Linked DNA regions of Saccharomyces cerevisiae S288C. The gene in region 3 interacts genetically with the main gene of each other region. Each region holds a gene or a part of one and is shown on either strand. Other genes may lie near its edges. The genes, in order: IRC15, CTF19, SCC2 and IML3.

What was found.
Region 1: mutations in SCC2 (region 3) and IRC15 together harm fitness more than expected from each alone (negative genetic interaction), as found in Saccharomyces cerevisiae (3 studies listed by BioGRID).
Region 2: mutations in SCC2 (region 3) and CTF19 together harm fitness more than expected from each alone (negative genetic interaction), as found in Saccharomyces cerevisiae (3 studies listed by BioGRID).
Region 4: mutations in SCC2 (region 3) and IML3 together harm fitness more than expected from each alone (negative genetic interaction), as found in Saccharomyces cerevisiae (4 studies listed by BioGRID, with this or other methods).

What each region holds. Positions count from the first base shown.
Region 1 is NC_001148.4:518,234-522,942, forward strand, and holds IRC15 (Irc15p), read right to left. Parts: upstream 2,001-4,709; coding exon 501-2,000; downstream 1-500. Other genes in the region: CTF19 (Ctf19p), read left to right, coding at 1-527; SWI1 (Swi1p), read left to right, coding at 2,781-4,709.
Region 2 is NC_001148.4:515,258-519,260, reverse strand, and holds CTF19 (Ctf19p), read right to left. Parts: upstream 1,611-4,003; coding exon 501-1,610; downstream 1-500. Other genes in the region: IRC15 (Irc15p), read left to right, coding at 1-527; VTC3 (vacuolar transporter chaperone), read left to right, coding at 2,243-4,003. UniProt on the Saccharomyces cerevisiae protein: Component of the kinetochore, a multiprotein complex that assembles on centromeric DNA and attaches chromosomes to spindle microtubules, mediating chromosome segregation and sister chromatid segregation during meiosis and mitosis.
Region 3 is NC_001136.10:819,659-827,009, reverse strand, and holds SCC2 (cohesin-loading factor complex subunit SCC2), read right to left. Parts: upstream 5,716-7,351; coding exon 1,234-5,715; downstream 1-1,233. Other genes in the region: SAS4 (Sas4p), read left to right, coding at 1-1,100; NVJ3 (Nvj3p), read right to left, coding at 6,186-7,351. UniProt on the Saccharomyces cerevisiae protein: Plays a structural role in chromatin and is involved in sister chromatid cohesion. Forms a complex with SCC4 required for the stable association of the cohesin complex with chromatin, which may act by hydrolyzing ATP from SMC1 and SMC3 heads.
Region 4 is NC_001134.8:453,293-457,076, forward strand, and holds IML3 (Iml3p), read right to left. Parts: upstream 1,239-3,784; coding exon 501-1,238; downstream 1-500. Other genes in the region: AIM3 (Aim3p), read left to right, coding at 1,530-3,784. UniProt on the Saccharomyces cerevisiae protein: Component of the kinetochore, a multiprotein complex that assembles on centromeric DNA and attaches chromosomes to spindle microtubules, mediating chromosome segregation and sister chromatid segregation during meiosis and mitosis.

The DNA.
Region 1 (4,709 bases), on a different chromosome or scaffold from region 3:
ATCCTTTTGAAATTCAGTTCAAAATGTTCTATAAATTTGAAGATTCCACACTGCTGAAGTGGGAAATCTTGCGAATTTCCACAAACGTTAGACTGAAGGCCAAGCAATTACTGGCAACACGTAACTTCCAGAAGTGTCTATTAAGCCTTTATGAGTTTGATAAGATCAAGTCCAAAAAAACTGGAATTTTCCAAAATTTGATTAATTTATTGAAAAGGAAAACCAGGTGTTATCTAATGAATAATAGTGACTCATTAATTGTGGAAAGAGTTATTAGAGAAGGAAGACTCACGACGATAAAATTGCAGATAAATTTCATCATTACAATGCCCGGTGAGAGAGGCAAACCTCGTAACTGTTTTCTGCCCATGAGTAAAATTTCAATAGCGCTATGGAAGGGGGGAGAAAGATTTAACCAGATAGATTTGGACGAGATATGCTACGGACTTATCAAGGAATATGGTGTGAAAACCGGGTTAAAGGAGATCTGCAACGTTTGCCTATTCCCGGACATGTACGCCAGGTGATGTTCCATTTGCCATTGCCAACTGGACGGCTTGCTTAAACGATTCCGATAAGCTCGGATGAGGGAACGGTACTTTACAGACATCATGGGCGGTAAGGCCAAGCGACACCGCCATCGATGCTTGCGACAGCAATTCATTTGCATCGTCGTTTATCATATGAACGCCTAGTATTTTCATGTCACGAGAATCTATCAGAACTTTAATGAAAGGAGAAACTGTAGTATTCTCTTCCCGTGGTAATAACGTGTTATATCTAACGTTCTGTGAGAACAAAACCCTGCCTTTTTGATATGGGATGCGAGCCTTTGCCAACCCCTCCTCAGTGTATCCGACCCAGCCAATCTGAGGCTGACAGTACAGCACATTTGGTGGGAAGCCACAATTCGAGGTTCCGTCGGAGCCTGTACAGCCTATTGATTGAATGGCCCTTATAGCTTGTTCTTCCGCTTTCAGCGCCAGCATGGGGCCCAATGTAACGTCTCCTATGGGTTTAATATGAGGGTACTTTAGCAGACTTTGGGTTTGTACGTCAACATTTTCTACAAAATCCCGTTCGTCTAGACCAATGCTGGAAATATCTAAACCTTTTAGCAGGGGACGTCTACCAATAGAAACCATCAAGACGTCGCAATGATGTACATATGTTTTCTTTGACACCTTGTTAAGCAAGGTGATGTTCAGCTGACCGGCAGCATCGGCTTCCGCGAGCTGCACTCTAGTGTCTAAAAGAAAAGCTATACCCTGACACTGCAAGAGGGTCTTCGTGGCAGAAGCCAACTCATTGTCCATATTTTGACAGATCTCGCTTTGAGATTCAACGATAGTAACCCGAGAGCCCAAATTATTGAATATGCATGCGATTTCTAGTCCAATTGTACCTCCTCCCATGATAGTAAAACGTGAAGGTATATAATCCAGTGACAATGCCTTATCAGATGAAATTATCTTGTCATTATCTATTGCAACACCAGGACACTGAATAACCGCAGATCCGGTCGCCACAACAATATATTTCGCCTCTACGATGAACGGTTTCATGCCGCGCTGCGCAATCTCAACGTGGTGAGGATCTTTGAAAGCAGCCGTGCCTTTATACACAGTAACATTATTTTTAGATAGCTCACGTTTATACACATTGCCCAACTCTTCTATATTATGTTTGAGTGCACTCTGGGCCGCCTGCATATCGAATTTTGCAGGAAACAGCCGCGTGCCACGTTGCTCGATAAGTTCTTGCTGTTGTAGCAGCCGATAAAGATAAGACTCATATAACAAGGTCTTGGACGGGACTGCCCCGTCTACAAGGTAGGCGCCCCCCAGCGAGGCACGCTGGTCAACACATGCTGTGAGCAGGCCTGCTTGCGAAGCCTGCATCGCTGCAGTAAAGCCACCAGGCCCGCAACCAATTACCAGGACATCGTAAACTGCCGCAAAATCCTCCATCGTGCTTAATATTTCGTCTTCACCTCCCATTACCAAAAATGCTCACCGTTAATTATATCATACTTCTCTTCTCCTCTCGTAAAATCGTGCGCATGTTAAATAGCCGCCGAAACAGCAGATGCATGCCTGCAGGTCTGGGTGTACCCCCTGCCTGAGTGTTCCACCCAGGCCTCGCCGGAGGAAAATGCCACCGCACTCAAGTTCGCACAGAAACTACCGCATAAATTTATTCTAACCCGGAACTGACGTTTATCGTGATATGAACTTTGGGTATCTCCGATTACGAAACGACGCCACCCCTCCTTCCCCAAAGCACCGAGAAAAGATTTTTTTTAAAACTGAACGCTGATTGACTTTACGTATTATTACCACTATGCATTATTGTTGTTTCTGTTGTGGTTGTTGCCAGTTGTAATCATATTCACATTGCGTTTTAGTCATAACCACCTTCCGGTATTCATCATTCGTATTGAATAACAATATTTATACCGCAAAACACTATACGGCAAGGCAACTGATTACACTTTGTTTACCTTATTTTTTTATTATTTATTTTTCTAGAAAGTATTGTTGTGTGGCTCTATCCTTATTACACCATCTCTGCTTTGGCATTTCGCGTTGTTTCCTCTCACGGATTGCAGATTATTGTTCACCAGGTAATAATCACTGACTGGCGGCTATTTTCCTATTACACTCATTATTCTTAAAATTTTCTTTTTCTATCTCTATTTTCTTTCTTTTCGTGTCTTATAATAATAATAATAATAATAATAATAAAAATAGTAATAATAAAAATAGTAATAAATAAAGATGGATTTCTTTAATTTGAATAATAATAATAATAATAATAATACTACTACTACTACTACTACTACCAATAACAATAATACTAATAATAATAATACTAATAATAATAATAATCCTGCTAATAATACCAATAACAACAATAGCACAGGCCATAGTAGTAATACTAATAACAATACTAATAACAACAATACGAATACCGGAGCCAGTGGTGTAGACGATTTTCAGAATTTTTTCGACCCAAAACCTTTTGACCAGAATTTGGATTCCAACAATAACAACAGTAATAGTAATAACAATGATAACAATAACAGTAACACGGTAGCCTCCAGCACGAACTTTACTTCTCCAACAGCAGTCGTTAATAATGCCGCTCCTGCTAATGTTACCGGTGGAAAAGCTGCTAATTTCATTCAGAACCAGTCTCCCCAATTCAATTCTCCATATGACTCAAACAATTCCAACACAAATTTAAACAGCCTGTCTCCTCAGGCTATTTTAGCCAAGAATTCAATCATTGATTCTTCCAATTTACCTCTTCAAGCTCAACAACAGCTATATGGCGGTAACAATAATAATAATAGCACCGGAATTGCGAACGATAATGTAATAACACCCCATTTTATCACCAATGTTCAATCCATCAGTCAAAATTCCTCATCTTCTACTCCGAACACAAACTCTAACTCTACTCCGAATGCAAATCAACAATTTTTGCCATTCAATAACAGTGCTTCCAATAATGGTAATTTGACGTCTAACCAGCTTATTTCTAATTACGCTGCTTCAAATTCAATGGACAGATCATCCTCTGCAAGCAATGAATTTGTTCCGAACACAAGTGACAACAACAACAACAGTAATAACCATAATATGCGTAATAACAGCAATAATAAAACGAGCAATAACAATAATGTCACTGCCGTGCCTGCTGCAACTCCCGCTAATACCAATAATTCAACTTCAAACGCAAATACAGTGTTCTCTGAAAGAGCTGCAATGTTTGCCGCTTTGCAGCAAAAGCAGCAGCAACGTTTTCAGGCTCTACAGCAGCAGCAGCAGCAGCAACAAAATCAACAACAGCAAAATCAACAACCACAACAGCAACAACAGCAACAACAGAATCCCAAATTTTTGCAGAGTCAACGGCAGCAACAACAAAGATCTATTTTACAAAGTCTGAACCCGGCATTACAAGAGAAAATATCTACTGAATTGAATAACAAACAATATGAACTTTTTATGAAATCTTTGATTGAAAACTGTAAAAAAAGAAATATGCCGTTACAATCAATACCAGAAATCGGCAACAGAAAAATAAATCTTTTTTATCTTTATATGTTGGTTCAAAAATTCGGTGGTGCAGATCAAGTAACAAGGACCCAACAGTGGTCTATGGTGGCCCAAAGGCTGCAAATTTCCGATTACCAACAATTAGAATCAATCTATTTTAGAATTTTATTACCTTACGAAAGACACATGATTTCCCAAGAAGGTATAAAGGAAACTCAAGCGAAAAGAATATTCTTGCAACAGTTCTTACAAGAACTATTGAAGAAAGTTCAACAACAGCAGCAGGCCGCTGCATTGGCCAATGCCAACAATAACATTAATAGTGCATCGTCAGCACCAACCCCCGCGGCTCCTGGCGCGTCCGTTCCTGCTACAGCAGCACCAGGAACAGAAGCAGGGATCGTTCCGGTTTCAGCAAACACTCCAAAAAGCTTGAATAGCAATATTAATATCAACGTAAATAATAACAATATTGGCCAACAGCAAGTTAAGAAGCCAAGAAAGCAAAGAGTGAAAAAAAAGACCAAAAAGGAATTGGAACTAGAACGTAAAGAAAGGGAGGATTTTCAGAAACGACAACAAAAACTTTTAGAGGATCAACAAAGGCAACAGAAATTGCTATTAGAGACAAAATTACGTCAA
Region 2 (4,003 bases), on a different chromosome or scaffold from region 3:
CTCATATTAAACCCATAGGAGACGTTACATTGGGCCCCATGCTGGCGCTGAAAGCGGAAGAACAAGCTATAAGGGCCATTCAATCAATAGGCTGTACAGGCTCCGACGGAACCTCGAATTGTGGCTTCCCACCAAATGTGCTGTACTGTCAGCCTCAGATTGGCTGGGTCGGATACACTGAGGAGGGGTTGGCAAAGGCTCGCATCCCATATCAAAAAGGCAGGGTTTTGTTCTCACAGAACGTTAGATATAACACGTTATTACCACGGGAAGAGAATACTACAGTTTCTCCTTTCATTAAAGTTCTGATAGATTCTCGTGACATGAAAATACTAGGCGTTCATATGATAAACGACGATGCAAATGAATTGCTGTCGCAAGCATCGATGGCGGTGTCGCTTGGCCTTACCGCCCATGATGTCTGTAAAGTACCGTTCCCTCATCCGAGCTTATCGGAATCGTTTAAGCAAGCCGTCCAGTTGGCAATGGCAAATGGAACATCACCTGGCGTACATGTCCGGGAATAGGCAAACGTTGCAGATCTCCTTTAACCCGGTTTTCACACCATATTCCTTGATAAGTCCGTAGCATATCTCGTCCAAATCTATCTGGTTAAATCTTTCTCCCCCCTTCCATAGCGCTATTGAAATTTTACTCATGGGCAGAAAACAGTTACGAGGTTTGCCTCTCTCACCGGGCATTGTAATGATGAAATTTATCTGCAATTTTATCGTCGTGAGTCTTCCTTCTCTAATAACTCTTTCCACAATTAATGAGTCACTATTATTCATTAGATAACACCTGGTTTTCCTTTTCAATAAATTAATCAAATTTTGGAAAATTCCAGTTTTTTTGGACTTGATCTTATCAAACTCATAAAGGCTTAATAGACACTTCTGGAAGTTACGTGTTGCCAGTAATTGCTTGGCCTTCAGTCTAACGTTTGTGGAAATTCGCAAGATTTCCCACTTCAGCAGTGTGGAATCTTCAAATTTATAGAACATTTTGAACTGAATTTCAAAAGGATTCATCGTGTTTCTGCAGAATTTATAATTGACCACCAAAACTTCAATCCCATCGTTATGTACTCTGTCTCTTGATTGCACAGAAACTTGAAGATGCGGGTATGTGTGGTCTCTCAAATAACTTAGCCGTAGATTCATATTTAACAAAGGTAACGTGTCGTATTTTGTTACTAGTTCCTTCTGCAAGTTAGTTAGCCCATTGATCCTCTCGACCCGCTTGCGGTCACTTATCGCCGAATTAGGATTAGAGGATGAGATCGAGATTAGATTAAGAAAATCCTGTGTGATATCGTTTTGGAGGATATCACCATTTTTAGTCTTACTGTTATTTTCCTTCATCAAGATATTTTGGTACGTCTGGATCTCTTGTAAAAGAGTATTTCTCCTTGTCAACAGCGCATCCTTCTCCTCCTGTAGCTTCAGTGCGCGTACCTGATCATCATCTAATAGCGATAGTTGTTGCTTCTCGTCCCCATCAATGTTTACATCTGCTTCACCAGCATGATGTGTACCCACAGCGTCTTCCAGACTTAAATGCGAATTCGATGTGTCGTGCGAATTCGTCGTATCAGACGTAAAATCCATATTTGCGTTCTTTGCCGACCTAGTATCAACAAGATCACACTAGCTCCAAGGTATATAGCTGTTTATATAAGTCTAAATTACGCGTTTCTGATTTTTCGGCGGACTCCAACTATTAGATAGTCACCATTACCGGTTACATTACCGGCCACATAGTAGAACGCCAGAGTATATATGCCGTGACCTTCACGGTTTGGATGTTAATGAGTAACTTGCACAGCTATTGGTATTTGGACTTCTTGGCACATTTTTCCCTGTACAGCTTTTCTTTTTTTCAATGTGCGAGGGCCCACGTGGCTTAATACAACACAGTGCAGTCGCAAGCACGTGCATGCGATTTTGAAAGCACAAGGCAGAAACGTGGAAACATACACACACGCACACACCCAACTTTCGAGTGGGTTTCATCCAGGAAGAACTTTTAAATAGAGGCCAGAGAGCGGCTTACATCAGACATCTTTTCTCGAACTTACTTCATCTTCTCAATATCGAGAGGGCCCATTGGCGGGTAATAATACGCATAAGAGTGATCTAATCCAAGTAGTACCTCCTTAGCGCTTTTTTTATTATCACTATAGGTCATTTGGCTATTAGAGCGAACAGCAGAATTTGTCCTTGGTTTTCAGAGTTTGAAAATGCTATTTGGTATTAAACTGGCTAACGACGTATATCCTCCCTGGAAGGATTCATATATCGACTATGAAAGGTTGAAGAAATTACTAAAGGAAAGCGTCATACATGATGGCCGTAGTTCCGTGGATAGTTGGTCCGAAAGGAATGAATCTGATTTTGTGGAGGCCTTGGATAAAGAACTAGAAAAGGTTTACACATTTCAAATTTCCAAATATAATGCTGTCTTGCGAAAATTAGATGATTTAGAGGAAAACACTAAATCAGCTGAAAAAATCCAAAAAATAAATTCTGAGCAGTTCAAAAACACCTTAGAAGAATGTCTAGATGAGGCTCAAAGATTGGATAACTTTGACAGGTTAAATTTTACTGGGTTTATCAAGATTGTGAAGAAACACGATAAATTACATCCAAACTATCCTTCTGTAAAGTCTCTTTTACAAGTCAGATTGAAAGAACTTCCTTTCAACAATTCAGAAGAGTATTCTCCCTTGTTGTATAGGATCTCATATCTGTACGAGTTCTTGAGATCAAATTATGATCATCCAAATACGGTGTCTAAATCATTAGCAAGTACTTCTAAATTATCACATTTTTCTAACCTTGAAGACGCAAGTTTTAAAAGCTACAAGTTTTGGGTTCATGATGATAATATAATGGAGGTTAAGGCTAGAATCTTAAGGCATCTACCTGCTTTGGTTTATGCGTCGGTTCCAAATGAAAATGACGATTTCGTCGATAATCTAGAATCAGATGTCCGCGTACAACCTGAAGCGCGCTTGAATATTGGTTCAAAGAGTAACAGCCTTTCTAGTGATGGTAATAGCAACCAAGATGTTGAAATTGGAAAATCAAAGAGCGTTATTTTCCCACAGTCATATGATCCAACAATCACTACATTATATTTCGACAACGATTTTTTTGATTTGTACAATAACAGATTGTTGAAAATCAGCGGTGCACCTACGCTGAGATTAAGATGGATCGGTAAACTGCTAGACAAACCTGACATATTTTTGGAAAAGAGAACTTTTACAGAAAATACCGAAACTGGTAATTCAAGTTTTGAAGAAATCAGATTGCAAATGAAAGCCAAATTCATCAACAATTTTATTTTTAAAAATGATCCCAGTTACAAAAACTATTTAATTAATCAACTAAGAGAAAGGGGTACTCAAAAGGAGGAACTGGAAAAACTTTCTAGAGACTTTGATAACATCCAAAACTTTATTGTTGAGGAGAAGTTGCAGCCAGTTTTGAGAGCTACCTATAATAGAACTGCTTTCCAAATTCCTGGAGATCAAAGTATTAGAGTCACTATCGATTCCAATATCATGTACATTAGAGAGGATTCTTTGGACAAAAATAGGCCCATTAGGAACCCTGAGAATTGGCACCGTGACGATATTGATTCCAATATTCCCAACCCATTGAGGTTTTTAAGAGCAGGAGAATATTCGAAGTTCCCCTATTCTGTAATGGAGATTAAGGTTATAAACCAAGATAATTCTCAAATGCCTAATTATGAGTGGATTAAAGATTTAACTAATTCACATTTAGTTAACGAAGTTCCAAAATTTTCTTTGTACTTGCAAGGTGTGGCTTCACTGTTTGGTGAAGACGATAAATATGTCAACATTTTGCCATTCTGGTTGCCCGATTTAGAAACCGACATCAGAAAGAACCCTCAGGAGGCTTACGAAGAAGAGAAGAAAACTTTACAAAAACAAAAGAGCATTCATGATAAACTTGATAATATGAGAAGG
Region 3 (7,351 bases):
AGAATATTAGAAAACCAACTGATGATTTGCTTCCTGATAGCACGTATCAGCCTTACCACAAGAAAATGTTGAAGCAAGAAAATAGAATGATTCAATCGGACATCGTAAATGGTGAAAATGAAGCAGACAGGCTTTCATTAATTTCAGACAGACTGGGTATGTTGAATTGGGAAGTAACATTACAGAAGGTTACTAAAATAAATGACCCCACTGACGAGAATGAAATGGAGACTAAACGTTACCAAACTAAAGAGCTGATTGATTCAATGTTACATAAATTTGAATCTATGAAAAAAAAAAGCCGCAATTTAGCTAGAAGGCCAGCCTCAAGTGATTCATTGTTGAAATTGGTTAGTGGCAAAGATTGGCCCAAGATATATACTCGAATCGATCGAACTTTTATTCCAGATTACGCAAGCTCCTCTGACGAAGAAGAAGAAAAAATAACCGTTGAGGAAATAAGGGAGAGACGCCTAAAGAAGAGAGAGCAGCAATGCGGTGGTTCCATTATAGTACTGCTGAGCGATCATCAATCACAAAAGGGAATGACACGGTTTGCTATCGTAGCTGAGCCGCTCCGAAAACCGTATTTGATTAAAACCTCCACTAAAGAGAGAAATTCATGGAAAAACAAAGTTCCCACAAATCCAAAAAAATTCAAGAAAGCTCCTCGAATATCAACGCAAATTGCTGTGAAAAGAAGAAGGGAAGTCATCCCGTTAACGATGGAGGTGGAACCAGAAGTCATTCGGGATATAAGGCAAGATACACAAAAGTCTATGAAACTGAATGTTAAAGCGGAGGAAATATCTGTGACAGAGACTGTCAAATCAAAAGAAATGAATGCCTTAAGGAACAATGCTGCATCTATAAGTCCAACTCTTTCAGAGAAGGCACCTTTAGGTTCAATTTCATCTTGCACTGCATCTCAGATTTCACAAAGGTCTTCTGAGAATGTGGGTGCTATTATTAACAATATCAACCCAAACTTAGCAATAGTGCCCTCTTGTAACGAAAAGACCTTTGTAAAAACACACAATGGAATGAAAACTAACTCAGGTATTAATATTTTGCCTGTCCGCAAGAAAAAAAAGGTTTAGTTTGAACTAATATAATGCGATGGTGTAAATGAAATTCAATATTTCATAGTTGCTTCTCAAAACCTGCGTGAAAAATCAGCATGGAAAATGCAAAATGATTATTAATACTATGTATATTTTAAGTGCAATATATTTACGTATCCTTCACGTGTTTTCTAAAATATGTAAGAAGCTTGCCATTTGATGAATACTGTTCAATATTCTCCAACTGTGCGGAAAACTTACTGATATCCGGCTTCTTTGCAGGGAGTTGTTTGTTCTTCAATTCTGATTCTTCTACAATATCTAATAAAAGCACATCATCCCTTAACCCGTATAAGTGCAGTAGATAAGTACCCAAATCCTGTAAGCTTAACTGTATTAAAATTATTCCACTGAGCTTTTCTTCTGATACGGATAGCGATGAAACATTGTCACCTATTTCATCCATGATAACCTCTTTTAATCTATCTGTAGTTAAATCAATGGTTTTGAGTAGGGACACCAAATCGTACTGAGAAACAAATGTGATATTCGAAATGTTAGTGCAGAGAACGAAAATGGACTTTTGAACACTACTATTTGTTGATGTTAAATCGGTGATATCATCTAAATAGGATTGCATGATTCTCTTCAGAACTTTAAAGAACTTTGGGCCATTTTTTTTTCCAGTTCCACATAATTTTTCAAGTAAAGACAAAAAATGATCGTGCTTGTAATAATACTTCTCATCTGTATGAATAGAATAATGTATAGCTTTTGTAACCCCTCGAGATAAACTACTGAATACTAGCGTTTCGTATTTCTCAAAAAGATCTTCTAACAACTCATAGGCGACATGACGAATATACTGGCTAGTAGAGGCAAATAAAGCAATTACAGTTGGAATTGAATGAGAGGGATTTGTGTAACCAAATTTCAAAATCAACTTTAATAATCGAATAGCTACGAGAGAATTCTTTAGATCACGTAGGAGACATAGTTGGAGAATATTGTCTAAAAATCTAGTAGCCAACGCTGAACATACTCCATCATTTGCAAACTCTACCCTATTCGTTTTCAGTAATTTCTTTTTCAAAATGGAGTTCGAAGACAAAGTGCTATTAACGCCAGTGTTTCTCACTGACTTCCTTTCTTCCAGTAGAAAAAGATCATATAAACTTTCTAGAATTACTAGTTTAATATCTAGCTGATCGCTCTGAAATTCTTTGTCCAGTAAATGTAGAACGTGTCTTGAATTGAATAGTTTTGGATGATTTCCACATAATTTAGTGAGATTTTTCACAGCAACCCTTCTTATTACGTGTGTAATTTTGTCTTTAGATAGTACAAGTAGGCATTTGGTAATATGTTCATACAGGGTTTCACCTTCTTGTAAAAATGCAATTTTATCATTGGAGGGTTTAGGAAAGCAGAACCTGGCAAAACCGGTGGATAAATATATCAGCCTTTGCAATTTTCCGTCAACTACAATGGCAGCTTCCTCGTTATTTGCCTTATTTATATATGGATGTAAATGGGAAAGACAGGATGAACATGCTTTAGCTACTCTAGCAGTATCATGACGATGAGTGGCAACAGACCAGATAAGAGGCATAGCTTCATCTATCTCTCTTACATTCATCTTTGGTAGCCTACTCAAAAGGGTCGTCTCTAAGTCATACAAAAATTTCTGTTTAAAGTTGGCCAATTTTTCAAAAGTGCATCTAAAGACTTGCAAGATATAATAGTGGAAGTCAGATTTTTCGTCCGATACCATATAAGGATACAATGCTGTAATGTGGTCTTTAGTCAAAAATGACACAGTAGAATCAGCAAACTTCGCCAAAAGGTTTAAAAAATTTTGTTTATCAACAATCGAATTCTTTTCATTTGTGTCATCTGAGTTGAGCTCGACAATTTTTTGTACCAAAAAGTCGGTAAGAATGGTTAGAACGTGAGTGATTTTATCGTATGCTTCTTTTGAATGCGCTTCTTTGTTTAGGAGATAAAAGTTGAGAAACAAGTCGAAAAGTTGGGAGCATTTCTCATTCATTATAGCCACACGGGACATTACTAGTAGGACTGAAGAAGAAATTTCTTTCAACTTTTCGGGCTGGTCCAATACTTCATGTACCTTTAATATCCATCTATTTAATAAAATCAGCCTAGCCATATCAATTATATTGTCCTCCTCGTCTTCTATTTTCATTAGGATTCTTGCTATTACGTATACCTTCGTGACGATGTCGTTCGTCTCGTCGTACATTTTTTCATTAATTCTTAACACATGTTTTCTTACCATTATGCTATCATCGTTATAGTTGTTGTTAATTTGTTGATAAAATTCGAAGTATGAAGAATTAATACTGACCAAATCTAGAATGGCATCCTTGACAGATGCAGATGAGTCGTTTAAACGCCGGTGAATAGTTTCTTTAACCATTGGGTTTGAAAGTATCACTTTGTCTTTTGAAGCCAACATCGAGAGACATTTAATAGCAGTCGATCTCAGTTTGATTTTATCCTTGGCTAGAAGTGATAATATCAACTTCAAGTATGGATCGTATAGATTCAGTAGTTCAAAGGCGTGCAAAATAGAAAAATAATCCAATTTAATCGTACTAAAATCTGCTTCTCTGTTCTCTAATTCGGGTCCAAGTCCACCATCTTTTATCTGCTCCAATATTTTTTTCAATTCATTGTCAACGGTTATAATTTGTTCTTTGGCATCCTTTGTATACTCTTCTAATATCAAGATCGTACCGAGCCTTAAATTCCAAAGGAATCTTGTTGCAGAACGACGGCATTTGATCGTTTCATTATATGCAATGCATTCTTCAAATGATTTAAAAAAATGCGGCAAAGTTTCGGGGTAATTAATCATTTTAATCAAGTTGTTATCTTCATGGTCTCTAGTTGAGCATTTAATATCAAAAATTGTAGAACCAATATTCCCTATAAGTTGTAAACATATTGTTTCAATGTTTGCAGAAACTTGCATGGATGGGCTGTATACACTTAGAAGTCTCTTTAACAAAGAGCTTAGTATTTTTTCTGTTACAGGCCACTGAGGGGAGGAAATTAGCAATAATAGATCTTGGACAAAGTTGTCAATTACATACCTTAAAGCGGACGGGTTCTTGAAAAACCTTTCCAGTATTGTGTCATTTATATGCTCAACAATGTTAAAAAGAAATTCTTCTTGCTTTTTGTATTCGTTCTTTAATAGATCAATATTCTCTGGTGCAATATCCTTCATCTGATTACAGAAGGAGTAGCAATTAATATTCTCTAACATTGACATTAAAGTAAAGGTAAAATCAGTGATATAAATGTTTTGGTTACCAACTTTTCTTAGTTTTTTTTGTATTCTCTTAGTGGGAAGCTTTTCGATATGAGATAGTAGTTCTTCTATAATAAATCCTCTCTGTTGATCAAAACTACCGAATAATGAAACTAAAATATCAGAGCTGATTCTCTTCACATTATCCCAAAAACTTTGAAATTGGATATTCGTAGTTGCTTCAATGTCATTATTCATCAGCAAGTCGCTAAAGATGTACACAAGCTTTGCCGTGACATTATCATCCAGAAAAGGGCCGTTACGTATGTATTTCGGTAGCAATTCTAGGGCCTCCTGGAAAGTGTCAAATTCTATCTTCAAAGAACCATATTCAATTGTTAATATTTTTAGAGATTCTATCAAGTCGCTTAAAAAATTCACCGGTTCCATGATGTATGATTCCCGATGTAAGTTGCTGTCATTCTTACCCAGTAAAAAAATATTGAATAGTACAATTGTAGAAAGCAAAGCAATATATCGTAACATAGAATCATCTAAACCCATCTTTAAAGAGCTTTTACTGAACTTTATATTACAAACCATCACATCAAGCAATCTCAAAAGCCATGTTATTTCGATTGAGTTCGATAGCTGTGGGTTATCGGTAATATTTTTAATTGTCATTTGTAATTTGGTTAAGCAGTTTGTAGTTAAAACGAATTTTTTATTTGGCAACTGGAGCCAGTACTCGATATTTCCAATTTCAGCAGAGTTTTGGTCAAATCCAACAATATCTAAAATATTTTTAAGATCATTCAAATATTGTTCCGCTAAATTCGCTTGTGTCATGGTTACACCTGTTGAAGTTTTGGTTTTCTTGTTGGAAGAATTGTCGTTGAAACTCAAGTTACCAGCATTCGAAGTCACACTTTCGAGCTTATGCTTTGCCTCCGGTCTGCTTACTATTTCACTTTTTTTCTCGATGTTAATGGAATCATTCAACCCTTTATGGGTTGATAGAACACTCTGCGCTAGCGGTGATAATCCTTCCAAAAAGTTAGTTGGGACATAATCAACAGAATTGGCTGATGACGTAAAATTACTGGGTCTTTTGAAAACAAGCCTTTCTTTTTCGGCCTCATTCTTTATGGAAGAAGTAGTGCTGTTAGCTGTACCTAGAACATTTATATTAACATCTCTGCCATCATCAGCGCTGGTAAAGATAGTCTTGTCAAAAGGTAAAGAAACCCGCATTGGGGCATTTACTAGCGCGGCTAACCCATCCTTAGGAACCAGATAACTCAAAGGCAGGTCTTCTAGGGCCTCTATTATTCTTCCAGGAATATTCTTGTCTTTCCCTGGGTACGACATTGCTAGCCGCCAATTCTTTCAAAAAATGAATAGTTATAAGAACAATACTCTCACAACAAACGAAAAGCCTGAGCACACAGGAGCAAACCAATACACAAAAGAAAAATTGCTATAAGTGGAGCACTCGAATGTGACTTGTTGTTATCGAACTCTAAGCCTGAGCTAGAAAAAACTTTAGTTACTAAACTGCATCGTTCTTTTTCAGCCAGTGTTTTTTTTAAGCGAAGTGGCGGCAGTTTCGCGTTTAACATAAAAGCAATACCACTTTTACCTGTTCGGGCAAAAGGAATAGATATTTGCATATTTGGCAATGAATAGTGCTAATGATTAGGTCATAAAAGCTATTTGTTAACAATGTTCTTGCTTCCTAAGACCTTACTTCATAGTATAAAAATTGGTAATAATGCTACAAAGAGTGCTATTTCGGTAACATCAAATATTTGTCAACAATACTCTATACATCACGAAGTCTACGGCAACTGCGCAATAACACAGTCAATAATTCTATAAATTAGCAGTTTATTGCAATCCCTATTCTTCGATATGCAGATAATAAGATCCGCTATGTCAGACCTTTTGATAGCGAGGATATGATCAAGTTTATAAGTCATACAAACATCCCATAAATTGGAAATACACTCTTCTCTGAACTCTAGAAAAGCATCACCCACTGGTAATACTCTTGGTGGCCCCATCATATTGTCATTAGGAAACAAAGAATGTCGTAATAATGAGAATAAGTTGCCAATTGTCACAGGGCTGGTAATTTTAGTTTGAACAATATTGTCAAATGTTCTATACATGACCCTGTTTAACGCATTTAATTTAGAGATCCAATGCTGAAGCGTTCTGCATATTGAGAATAGGAATGGCTTCCTCATAGATAATTTGAAAAAATCATCGGTGAAAAAAGTAAAAATATATCTTTGTAGAAATGCTGTTTCTTGAATTTCGGCAGTGTTCATATTTGCTGCTTCTGTTGAAGTTGAATAAGCTAAAAGCCTGGTCATTTGCAATATTTTGTGCTTTACATTGGAAACAAACAACCAGGGATCGCATTTAGGCTTTCCATGAGTCACCTCGTTTCTGGTATTTCCTGCAGAATTTAGCTTTATTCTTATGCAAATTTTATTCAAGCCCTCCAGAAGATAATATGGTTCCGCTATTGAATTAAAAATATGCCCGAACACAAGTTCATTTAAAAAGCTATCCAAAAAGCTTCTCTGTAGTAGAGATTTGGTGCTCATTTTACTTTGTATGATTTCAGTGAATAGCATTGGATATCGTTTCGAATCATACAAAGTTAGCTTACAGTACTGTTCATAAACTAAATCGTTATTTTGAGATGAGTCATTTAATGCTTTCAAGTGAGACGAAAGCAAGCAGGGAATATAATCGAGTAAAAGGGCATGGTAATTGATTTTGGAACTCTTCAAATATGTTATTAAATCTTGAACTAAGTTATATAGTTCGGTTAAAAACTTGGAATCATCAGTGGGTATTTTGATACCATACCAAGACTTAACGAAATTTTGGAAAATTAAGGCAATAAAGGTATTTACCTGTAGGTCTGGCAAAGCTTCTATGCTTCTGATTTTCTGATGTAATGAATTTGGGTATATAGAGAAACATAAAT
Region 4 (3,784 bases), on a different chromosome or scaffold from region 3:
GCAGTTGCTGCAGTGTTATAAGAAAAATAGAATGAAATAAGATAAAGCTAGACGAATTGTGTCTATTTTCCTACATCGCCATAGAATTGCTTTTTTTTTCTTGATTAGATGAAATGAAAACAAGGAACTCTATTTGTTTTCATTTTGTTGGGCTTATCATGTAAAGAAAAATGAGTCGTGTCCTCTTTTTCCTCGTGCTTGTATGACTGCCGCACTTTCCGCTAAGTGCGCTCGTCTATATGATTTTATGCAAATATATACTGAAAGTTCAACAAAATTAAACTATGTGAACATTAGTTCATAGCAGCCATTGGCCCGTTGTGTCGGGATCTCTACACTAAATTGTAATGTCTCTGGGATTTTGTGGGGTGTCATTGCAGATATGACGAACCGGATATTACTGATAATGACGATGATTCATGAAGGTCTTCAGGTTCATATGTACAAAAAAGGTAGAGCTGTGGTTTTTTATTGTATCTTGGTGAATATTCTTTATAGTGTTACTCGCTGGTAAACTGAATCGATTGGAGTACAACTGCTAGAACTCTGTTCCTGAGACTTCGTGTTGAAGTGACAATGGATTCTCTCATTATTTTCGTGTGCCCTGCCAATATGACGGAAGTCAACGGTAATCTTTCCACCGCCATCCCCGTTTCATTATAAATGTAGGGTACAATTGCATCGTTATACGGGTGCATAGTATTACCATAGCCAAGAGCCAAACCCTCACAGCTTTCTCTCGGTATTTCTATACTGAATTGCCGCAAGTTTTTGTCTTGTGTTTCTGGTTCAAAATATAACTTTGAGCTAAACCAGGTAATTTGTTCGATGTTCTCTTTCGTTACGTGCACAATGCTGGCGTCAGCTAACTTTATCATGGTCTTCTGTTCAAATTTTATCGGCCACATAATGACACCGTACTCTGCCTTCAGCCACTGCAATACCACTTCATTGCGGTTATCTGTCCCGCAATAGCACAAAAACATCGGCACCTCCATTTTTGAGTTCCCCAAGAAAATGAACTTAGAGTAAGTGCCCTCATCTAAATTAGAGATGTCCAACCTCATTTCGTAACGGATATACTCGTCAGCGGCGGTACCACCATCAGGATCACTGGGTACTCGAATGGTTTGAATGTCTAAATCTACTTCCAGGTTTAGCAATTGGTTCAACTTTGCTATACCATTTTCCAGTGAAAGTTGCTTGCTGATTCCTAAAAACTTCCAAGTATAAGGCATTCCATCCAAAGGAAGTACGTTGATACCTATAGACAATCAAATCAACCATGCAGTCGACCAGATCATCCCACTATGGTTGTTGTCTATTTCATATCGGTGTCGGCATTTTTTTTTCCCGTAGTACCACTGGATCTGCCTAAATCGCGCTTCAGGAAAACCAGGGACCACCCTATTTTTTTATATTTCATCATCTAAATTAAGTGTATACATATATGGATAAAGTCATTTTGAGTTTACATAATCGTATGTTCGAGAGAGGTCTTTCATAAAAAAATCAAGTTATCAACCAGCATGGGATTTTGGGAGAACAACAAAGATTCCATCACTTCAGGGCTGAAGAGCGCCGGTAAATATGGTTACCAAGGAACAAAGTACGTTGCCAAGACAGGGTATAAGGCAAGTAAGAAGCACTATAACAACAGCAAAGCGCGTAGGGAAAGGAAGAGTGGTAAGAAAAATTCAAGTGATGAGGAGTATGATAGCGAAGATGAGATGGAGTACGAAAGAAAGCCGACCGATATAAGAAGTTTAAAAGACCCAAAGTCCTTTCCTCCCCCACCTTTGAAACCTGGACAAAAAACTTATACAGGACAACAGCAACAGCAAATGCCAAATGGTCAGGCCAGTTATGCTTTTCAGGGTGCATACCAAGGCCAACCTGGCGCAGGATCGACGGAACAGTCACAATACGCACAACCACAGTATAATCAGTATCCACAACAGCAGCTGCAACAAGGTGTAATGCCACAGCAACAGCAGCTGCAACAAGGTGTAGTGCCACAGCAGCCGCCTATATATGGAGAGCAAGTACCACCGTATGGGTCAAATTCTAATGCAACCAGCTACCAGTCGCTGCCGCAACAAAATCAACCCCAAAATGCAATTCCAAGTCAGGTATCTCTGAACTCTGCTTCTCAGCAAAGCACAGGGTTTGTCTCGCAAAATCTGCAATATGGTACCCAATCAAGTAATCCGGCACCATCACCGTCTTTCCAGAACGGTCTTCAGTGTCATCAGCAGCCGCAATACGTATCACATGGCTCAACCAATCTCGGACAATCCCAATTTCCATCGGGCCAACAGCAGCAGCCCACGACACAGTTTGGCCAGCAAGTTTTACCATCACCTGCACAACCACAACAGCAACAACAAGGGCAACCATTACCGCCCCCGCGCGGTCAAGTGATCTTGCCAGCGCCCGGAGAGCCTCTGTCAAATGGCTTTGGGCAACAGCAACAGCAACAGCAACAGCAACAGCAGCCTCTGAACCAAAACAACGCTTTGTTGCCACAAATGAACGTGGAAGGAGTTTCTGGGATGGCTGCGGTTCAGCCTGTCTATGGCCAAGCCATGTCAAGTACTACAAACATGCAAGATTCGAACCCCAGCTATGGAGCTTCACCCATGCAAGGTCAGCCTCCAGTCGGTGGACAACCGCCTGTGCCTGTAAGAATGCAGCCACAGCCACCGCAACCAATGCAACAGGGAAACATCTATCCGATTGAGCCTTCTCTTGATTCTACTGGCTCAACCCCACATTTTGAAGTTACTCCATTTGACCCAGACGCACCTGCTCCGAAGCCCAAAATCGATATTCCCACTGTAGACGTTAGTAGCCTTCCACCACCTCCCACTCATAGGGATAGAGGAGCAGTTGTACACCAGGAACCTGCGCCAAGTGGGAAAATACAGCCTAACACAACCTCTTCGGCGGCTTCATTGCCAGCAAAGCATTCAAGAACTACTACTGCAGACAATGAAAGGAACTCTGGAAACAAAGAAAACGATGAAAGTACCTCCAAGTCGTCCATTTTAGGACATTATGATGTAGATGTCAACATCATGCCACCTCCAAAACCTTTCAGACATGGACTTGATTCTGTACCTTCTGAGCACACCACGAAGAACGCACCAGAACGGGCAGTGCCAATTCTACCTCCTCGGAACAATGTTGAGCCTCCTCCTCCCCCATCACGAGGCAATTTTGAGAGGACAGAGTCGGTGCTGTCAACGAATGCCGCTAATGTACAGGAGGATCCCATTTCTAATTTTTTACCTCCACCGAAGCCATTTAGACATACTGAAACTAAACAAAATCAGAATAGTAAAGCATCACCTGTAGAAATGAAGGGTGAAGTTTTGCCAGGGCACCCCTCTGAGGAAGATAGAAACGTTGAACCATCGTTGGTACCTCAATCGAAACCGCAATCGCAATCTCAATTCAGAAGAGCTCATATGGAGACACAGCCTATTCAAAACTTCCAGCCACCACCAAAACCATTTAGGCGTTCACAATCGTCCAATTCTAGTGATAGTTCTTATACTATCGACGGACCTGAGGCAAATCATGGGCGTGGGCGTGGGCGTATAGCTAAGCACCATGATGGTGATGAATACAACCCCAAGAGTGAGAATTCTACAGAAAACGGTCGTTTGGGTGATGCCCCCAACAGCTTTATTAGAAAAAGAGCGCCAACCCCTCCGGCCCCATCCAGATCTGAGAAGTTACATGAGGGTACTATAACATCCGAAGTTGATAGTTCAAA